Linked DNA regions of Oryzias latipes. The protein of the gene in region 1 interacts with the protein of each later gene in a pairwise test. Links are inferred from orthologs where the notes say so. Each region holds a gene or a part of one and is shown on either strand. Other genes may lie near its edges.

The links.
Region 2: the proteins of ngly1 (region 1) and rad23a interact in binary tests that used the Homo sapiens proteins (3 or more experiments, as listed by UniProt). The two-hybrid records come from large-scale screens. The link is inferred for Oryzias latipes from reciprocal best matches to the Homo sapiens genes NGLY1 and RAD23A.

The regions. Positions count from the first base shown.
Region 1 is NC_019869.2:19,045,547-19,049,849, reverse strand, and holds the start of ngly1 (peptide-N(4)-(N-acetyl-beta-glucosaminyl)asparagine amidase), read left to right. Parts: upstream 1-1,416; 5' UTR 1,417-1,526; coding exon 1,527-1,627; intron 1,628-3,178; coding exon 3,179-3,293; intron 3,294-3,408; coding exon 3,409-3,666; intron 3,667-4,303. Other genes in the region: oxsm (3-oxoacyl-[acyl-carrier-protein] synthase, mitochondrial), read right to left, coding at 137-1,113. UniProt on the Homo sapiens protein: Specifically deglycosylates the denatured form of N-linked glycoproteins in the cytoplasm and assists their proteasome-mediated degradation. Cleaves the beta-aspartyl-glucosamine (GlcNAc) of the glycan and the amide side chain of Asn, converting Asn to Asp.
Region 2 is NC_019866.2:22,942,286-22,946,680, forward strand, and holds the start of rad23a (UV excision repair protein RAD23 homolog A), read right to left. Parts: upstream 3,035-4,395; 5' UTR 2,850-3,034; coding exon 2,784-2,849; intron 2,126-2,783; coding exon 1,964-2,125; intron 1,860-1,963; coding exon 1,663-1,859; intron 1-1,662. UniProt on the Homo sapiens protein: Multiubiquitin chain receptor involved in modulation of proteasomal degradation. Binds to 'Lys-48'-linked polyubiquitin chains in a length-dependent manner and with a lower affinity to 'Lys-63'-linked polyubiquitin chains.

The DNA.
Region 1 (4,303 bases):
CAGAAAAACCAGCAGCTCTGGCCCAGCACCCACAGTGGAAAACGTCTGAAAACTGCGGTGGTAGAGCTCTGGCTTCAAACTACAACTTTACGTGAACACTGAGAAAACATAGAAGCTCTTTCTCCAGCAGGGTTACCTGAAAGCTCCATCTCCATCTGCAGAAGGGGCTGTTATGTGACTGGCATCCCCTGAGAGCCCGTAGCCCAGGATCTCTGCATAGATCCTTGCTCCTCTCTTCACAGCGTGCTCCAGCTCCTCCAGCAGGAGCACCGCTGCTCCCTCCCCCATCACAAAGCCCTCTCTTTCTGGGTGGAAGGGCCTTGAGGCCAGTGTTGGTCTGTCGTTCCACTTGGTGGCAAGTGCTCGGGCTCTAGCAAAGCCTGCTATGGAGAGAGGCCCGACACAGGATTCCGTCCCCCCCGTAACCATAGCAACTGCATCTCCATGAGCAATGAATCTGGCTGCATCACCAACGGCATGAGCTCCTGTGGTGCACGCTGTGGATACAGCATGGTTGGGTCCCTTCAGTTTGTGCTTGATGCTGATGTGCCCAGCTGCCATGTTAACAAGGATGCGGGGAACAAAGAAGGGGCTCACTTTCTTGTAGCCCCTCTCCTGGAAGGCAGCAGAGGTGCTGGCAATATCGTCCAGTGACACCATACCCATGCCAACTGCAACCCCCGTGCTGAGCTGCTCCTCCAGGCTTTCAGGGAACCAGGCTGCGTCCTCCAGAGCCAGCTGTGCTGCTCCCAGGGCCATCACAGTAGCTGCAGACATGTTGCTGATTTCCCCCCGAGAGACGAACCGGTCCCCCTTAAACTGGCCCTCATCAGCGCCTCTAGGCACCAGAGCTGCCACCCTGCAGGGGAGGCCCCGGTAGTCCTCAGACTCCAGAGCCACAATCCCGCTCCGACCTTGGATCAGACACTCCCAGGGCAGATTGCAGCCGGTGCCTAGAGGGCAAACCAGCCCAAGGCCCGTAACCACAACCCTCCGCCTGTGCGACTGTCCGCTCCCGCTGCTGAGCCTAACTCCCTTTGGACAAATGTGGGCATTTCGAAGGAAAGCCCTGCCCGGCTGAACTATCGCCCGGACTGTAGTCCAGATGGACATCGTCTTCCCCTGATGGAGCTCTAACTTTCGTTACACAGTATGAACTTAAGCTCTGGACAGCCCAAGTAACTGTCCATGCAGGGTTTGTTTTGAGTAATCTTTGGATCTGCCCTAGAAAATGCCAGCTTTTTGTGCCTGAACCTTCTCTTAGATTTAGCCTAAAACAAACTAAAATAGCAACCACACAACAAATATTGTTTATTGGGAGTTAAAAATAATAATGCAACAGCTGCAGATTGTGCGCGCGCATTTTTCCCCTTTAACATTAGACTCCGGCGTAATAAAGCCACCTAAATGTAGGACCCCAAACACAGAGTTAGCTAAGTAGCTGTCAGCGTTAGCTCCCCAATCCGTTGATATATCCGCTTTTCTGGAGGGACGGGCGTTACAGCTGGCTTGGTTTTGTCGGAAACATGAGTCTATCTCCGGCGGTTACAACTCTGTGCGAGAACTCCACGGATGTTTTCCTGGACGCCGCCAAACTGCTGCTCACCTACGCCGATAACATTCTGAGGTGAAGCTGGATGGATGATCATCATGGAGATTCGTTAGATTTCTGAAATTTCTGATGATCGTGACTGTTTTATCTTTAACTTACTGTCATTTATAACCTTAATTAAACCTGCACAGATGTAAAAGAAGCCATACAGAATAGCGGCATTTAGAGTCACTCATGCGCCCTAATATATCAAATTTGCAAAAATGCTATTTATTTTCCTGGCTGCACCAGAGTCTCACTCTTCCTCTATCCTTCTGAGTGGATTCCGACACTATCTCTCCTATTTGATCGCCTTTCCTTCATTTGTGTTATTTACAGCCTTTTCAGTGGTTGCTTTCATAGTTTTAGCAATTTAGGTCACACAATTCAAAGTCCTTCAAATTTTAGCCTCAGTGATTTACCGTGTTCCCCAAGGCTCTGATCTGGGTCCATTCCTCCTCATTTCCCCTCTCTCCTTAAAAACATGTTTCCAAAATTGAGCTTCATTTGACTTTTTTTTAAAATGTATTTTCTTTGGGAGAAGACACCCAGCTCTATCTCTAACAAATCTATGTGCATTGTTTCACCTGCCTTTTTTTCCTGATGTTGTTTTACCTCACATCGCTCTAATTCAAAACCTCTTTGTTTGTGTAAAGTCTACACTTTTCAATGAAAACATCTTCTCCATCACTATTACGTCGTCTTTGGGTGCCCTTTCTTCACAGGATAAGAGTTTTGGTTTCATGCAGGATTACATCATTCCAGTTCCATATTGATAAAATTGCTCAAAATTTATCAGTACAGTTCCACCTTTGTAATAATTGTCGTTGCCCCTCTCACAAGCCACATCCTACCTCCATCCCTGTCTGCAAACTCATCACTTCCTGTCCTCTTTACTTCCTCCTCATTGGTCTACTACCTAAATTCTGTCTATAATAAAACTTCATCTCATCTAATCACTGTCATTCTGAAAGAATTGAAACGATTTCTTATGAAATCATTTCAAAATCTTCCTTTCAAAGGAATATAAAAACCCCTCCCCTCATTGTCTGTTTCCTCCTCTCTGTTGGTCCCTCTTGTTCCTTCCTCAGATCCTCCTCTTGACTTCACTTCGCTGCACCGTTTGCACCACAGGACGTAAAACCTTCGGCTGTGAAACTCATGTCCTACTGATGTCTAAACACTGAACTTCATTTAAAAAAAAAATCAAAATTCTGAACTTTTCTGTCAATAAAAAAAACAAAACTATTTGGCGACACTTTTTTGTCTGTGTGCTCCCAAACCTCTCTCTCCTCTTTTACACTTTTTTTTCATAATCTTTTTTCGTGTACTCGGTTATCATACGGTTTTGAAAGCCACTCCAAACTAATTTGTGTTGTAATTCTTATTAATTCACTTCATGAGCTTTATCAGATGTGTGCAGTGATCCAAAAATTGGTCTGATTTAAGTGAAACTACAGATATACCTACATTTTGGGGCTGTTGCAAAAAGTTCCACCCTTTGAATTCAGATCAGACTGAAATGCTTTCCCCTCAGAAAACTGACATCAGTTTGTTTTTATGGGATGTTTCTATCCACCCCCATAGGTACCCCAACGTGGAGAAGTACAGATCCATCCGGATAGGTAATCCCACTTTCTCCACTAAGCTGCTGCCCATCAAAGGAGCTGTGGAATGTCTCTTTGAGATGGGCTTTGAGGAGGTAATGCTGTTAAATTTAGGTTAGGATGATAAGATAGCTGGGTTTCACTGGTGTCAAGACTCTGGTTGCTTGATAGGACTCGACTGCAAGTAAATGTCTTTTTTTTTTTTTTAAGGCTGAGACACACCTGGTCTTTCCCAAGGCAGCATCGGTGGAGCAGCTGAGGCTCGTGAGAGAGTCCATAGCAGCGGAGCGTGATCAGAGGCTAAAGGGGGAGTGTCCTGTTCCGCCTGCTGCACAGCGTGTTGCCTCAGCACAGCAGAGTCCAACTGCAGCCGCTGCTCCTGCGGCTGCTCCCACTGCGGCTCCTACTCCCCCTGCAGGTGCCCCTAGCCAGCTGGCAGAGTTCTCTGCTCAGCAGCCGTCGTCTCTGGTAAACAGAGCCTTTGTTTTAACTTTAAAATTATACATGAGTCATTTAAAGATATGTATCTGCTTTGCCTAATGGAGGTGACTGCTCATGTTCCAACCTTTTAGAATCAGAATCAGCTTTATTGGCCAAGTACAGTGCACGTACAAGGAATTTGGCTTTGGTGTCTTGTGCTCTCGTGCAAACTACAAAAATATTTAAAACGAGTTTAATGAAGTAAGACAGGAAAGGATAAATCATAAAAAGAAAGTACTATGAGGTAGATATAGGAAGATTTAAACATAACTAAATAAAAAATGCAACTGTGTTCTGGTGTGACACTTTCTGTGGTTTTGTTCAGTGTTCTAGAGTGGTCTGGAGTGGTTTTGGTGCCCTGAGTCCTAAAGCGCCGCCCTGACGGGAAAAGGCCGTCAAAGCTGCATGAGAGGCGTTGTCCCTTAACAGCAGAGGACTAGTTTACATCAGTACCAGGGAAAAGTTTCCTGAAACTTTTGTTAACTACTTAAATGTGCCAAAATCAGCAGAAAAAAACAGTTTTAGGAGCCTATCACGGGCTTCAAGGTGCTAGACAGGCCTAAACTGTCCCCTTTTGGATCCATAAGGTCTGACAGAGCAGTAGGCAGAACGCAGATGCTTTGTG
Region 2 (4,395 bases), on another chromosome or scaffold:
TACTTTGCAGATTTCCTATCAAGGGTTATTTTTAGAATGTAATTCCCAAGATAAATAAGGAATCTTTGTTTTTAAAGTTTATGCCATCTCATCCATCTGGCATGTCCAAAGTCTGGCTCAATGACATGCAGGCTTCTGTCATAAAATATGGGGTTTAGCACCCAAGTGACAGACATGCAACCGAAAAGATCTGGTAGTTTTTCAAAATAAAAATATTTTTCAAAATAAAAGCTAGTTTAGCCTCCACTCAATCAACCCCTCCTGCTTTCACCGCCCGGGTGGTAGCCTCCTGCTTTCCCTCCTAGAAGCCTCCTACTCTGAAAACTTTGGAGGCCCCTGTTTAACAGCAGAGAAGTTATTAGTGATGTCCAGATCTGATCACGTGAGCAGAAATCAGGCCGACTGAGTCGTTTCGCATTGGACTGGAAAAAATAACCCCGATCAGGACATCCCTCTAAATTTACTGAATAATGTTGGATTTTACGTTTAGAAACTAAACGAACTTTAAGCGCTTCTGTCCCCCGAAGTAAATAAATCTATACAGTAAAAGTGTTTTTATGTAGATTAAAAAATTGGACAGATGTTCATTTCACTGAAATAAGTTCCGGAAAAGTACCGTAAATTCCGGACTACAAAGCGCACCCAATTACAAGCCGCACCCACCCATTTTCACGTGTTTAACTACTTTTCTACATACACAAGCCGCGTCGGAGTACAAGCCGCATGTATTAGGCAACATTGTCATCCTGACAAATCACGTCCTGCCTCCCAGAGTAAGTGTGATGGTGGATTTTTTCACGCTGCTTCTAACGATTGCTTTTAACTTGAAAGCTTCATCATATTGCAGTGGCGATCACGTGCACGTTGGGTCTAATGGCACCAAAGGATTCTGGGATGCGGCTGGGCATGCGTGTTTCGTTTGTGGAACCATGACTGAAGTGTCTAAGACCTGAAGTTAGGTCCATGCTGTTTGGCTGCCTAGACGTGTATTGAAAAACAAATGACTTGCCCTTGGTGTTAGATAGAGAATTCTAACCATTCACTGTGTCCGAAAGTACGTACATGGCGGCCGCCAAATAAAACCATAAATTAGCCTCGTCACTGAATAAGCCGCACGGCTGTAAGCGCAGGAAAAAAGTAGCGGCTTATAGTTCGGAAATTACGGTAATTGTTTTAAATATGGTCGATGTTATTCGCAGGCGTTTACGTGCAACCAGCACAAAAACTGATGGAAAAACATGTGGATCACACGAAAACCATGTGGCCCAAATACACATTGCTGCACGTATTTGAACCCTAACCTTACCTGTAACCATAAGCCCTGCCCTAATTACGGTGAAATAGTCACTTCCTTTAAATCTAATTGTCGATTTAAGTAAAAAATGTGATACAAAAGTTAAGGATATTATGAAAATCTTGTAAATGATTTGCAAAGTCATTGTAACTATGATGGAGACGTCAGTGTCTGAATCCCGCAAAACAACAAAATGATGTTTGTTTTTGTTTTGTTTATAAAGAAAACAACAGCCGAACTCACTGCATTCTGCTGAATTAAATGCTAAGTCATCGTACAAACCCGCTCAGATTTAAGTGACTTCTTTCCCCATTTCGTCTCCCTTTTCTACCAGCTGACACCGGCGAGCGTGGCGGTACGCCTGTTACCTGGCGGGCTGCTGTGGTTCTGTGGCTTCGGCACTTTGCTCCTGTTTGGCCTCCTCAGGAGGAATAGGGACAGCTGCAGGGGTGGGTGCAGCAGGAGGATTTGAAGGCGGGGCAGCGGTTGATGTGGAGCCAGAGTCCTGTGCGGGGGGCTTGGGGGCTTCCGGGGCTGGTGCCGAGGTCGTGGCTGCAGGCTTAGCCTAACGTGTTCAGAAAACAAATGAAAACGTCAGAGGAACTGCATCCAGACGCGAGTCCGCTGCACACATAAAAAAAGATAAAAAGCTGGACCATGCAGTCTCACCTTGGATACCATCACTACAACAAAATTCTTCTCATCGATTTTGTAGTCTTTGATTGGCGTATCGTCTTGCAAGATTTTCCCGGCGTATATCAGCTTCTGCCCAGAAACAGGAAAGTTGTCTTTTCCTCGTTCAGCCTCTATCTTCTCCTTCAAGGCCTTGACCTGACACACAAGAGGGCAGACATGATGGTCGGACTACCCGGAGGCAGCCTATCCTCAACACCTGAAAGCCACACCCCAGCCGCCTCCATGCGAAAAAGGCCAAATCTGGAGCACCAGCGTGTATTTTACTTTTGTTAGACATCTAAACAGTAGAAGTTAACCCAATCCATCTAGGCTTCCAGAGCTGGGCTATCTATCAGGAGCTAGGCGTGATTGGCAGTGTCATGATGAGCATTTAGAGCACGCGCATCATCCTTCGTCACCACCAGCGCACTGACTGAGCGTCTCTGATTCACACATGTTGGTGGTTTTACCTCATATATTCACAGCCAAAAAGGCCGCAACAATCCTCTGTCAGCAACTTCAACTAGTGACAACCAGCTTTCAGGTGGCGGCCCAATGACTCTGTTAATTTTAGCAACATTAGCTTGAAACCTAGCTTAGCGAGGTAGCTTCAGCGCGTAAAGGAACAGGTGTGTTCTTAATTTTAAGCATTTTTTGTGTGGCTTAAATGTTCACACAATTCAGAAATTAATTCGATGTGATAAAAGTTAGTTCCTTTCACTGTACCTGCTCTATGGAGCTGTCGGGTGTGCACGCGGAGCTAAAAGACAACTCCGGTGCTGGAAGCTAACGCAGTTAGCTGTTAGCCACTTACCGTTTGTTCGGGGTCTATTTCAATCTGAATCGTCTGCTGCTGCAGCGTTTTCAGAGTGATCTGCATGGCGGCGTCCGGTGTGCTTCAAACTGGAAAAAGAGCGGCGCACTAAAGGAAAAAAAAGTCAGTCTGTGTCTCAGGTTCGCGTTTTGAGTAAGATAACAACTAGCCGAGAAATGTGTGTATCCATGAGCACTCAGCAAATCGCCATCTTTGGTGACAAGTTACGGGCACTCCTGCTTGGAGGCTGTGAGATATCGCGAGAAACCACGAGAGGGCCAGCAGCACAAAAGCTTTAGAAAACAAGCAAGACAAACACACGCGCACAGAAATCACAAGACTTATAACTTTTTAACTATATAGAAATACATTCTGATCATGTTAAGTGCCTGTGAGACTCAAAGTCCCACTTTGATCATCTTTTGATCTATTTTCAAAGCGTTCCTGGTGGTCTTTTAGTGACGATTATGCTGTTTTTAGACAAAAAAATTCAAAAACCTGTGTTGATTTCGTGGACGTAGTTCCTGCAAAGCAGCAGCAGTTCATTAAAAATTCACCTCTAAGTTTGTAGGAAACACTTCTGGTGCGGAGCTACCCAGGCCCCCCTTCCCATCACCCTTCTGTTTACATGCTCTCCTGCTAGCTTACAGCCCCACACAACCTAACATTATCAGTGCAACAAATATTGGTGCTGACCGGCTTTGAGCCAGACGCCAGCTCGGACGAGTAAAACAAAGATGTAGCCTACATGGATCTGGTCTACAGGCGGATGCATCAAAATGCAGCAAAGCAGTGAGTTTGTGGCCCCGCCCAGTGTATTTTCTAGGTCACAAGTATCCGTGTCACAGCTACAAGCTTTCTAAGATGGCATTTTTTTTGTCTGTTCCAGATTCACAAAACTTTTATACACATCATGTTCTGACCCATCCCCTGGGGGAGCGGTGACACAGCTGTGCTCGGGATCCCCCCCAATTTGAAGCTGAATTTTCTTTATATGTGTTCTCCATTGTCCGAAAAATGCCACAAGAACAATTTAAAAACCCCACTTTCATTGGGGTGGGTCTTTGAGTCTGAAGCGACGTTTACAACGCCAAATCACTACCAAATCCGAGTCCCTGATTGGTCAAAGTTTGACCTGGTTAACCTTTCATCACACACAGTCAATGGTCGCAAGTTTTGAACACAAAAACCTATAGCTATGCGTGATGCGAGACGCCCAAAACACGCATTTACTTAAACTTTGCATTAGAAGGAGCCACATAACCATAAACTTCATCGTGCTGTAAACTTCTTTTATTCATCATTGGGTATAATATTAACTCACTCTTTGTTTATTTCCTCCTGATTCAGGCACAGTGGATATCTGCATTCACACCTGGAGGGCCTTTTTTCTGCACAGCAGACTTTAATGCCACTATCACACGACCAACACAAACTGGTTCAAACGAAAGGACTTTGGTGTCAACGTGTGTCAATGAAAACCTAGGAGAAAGGGATTCTTTGGGTATCTGCTGCATAAAAGAGTTTAGGAAGTGATTTTAAAAGACAGAATTGAGCACTTTGAACATGATTTGTGTGTCAAATTGTTAAAAATTGGATCTTCCTTACTCAT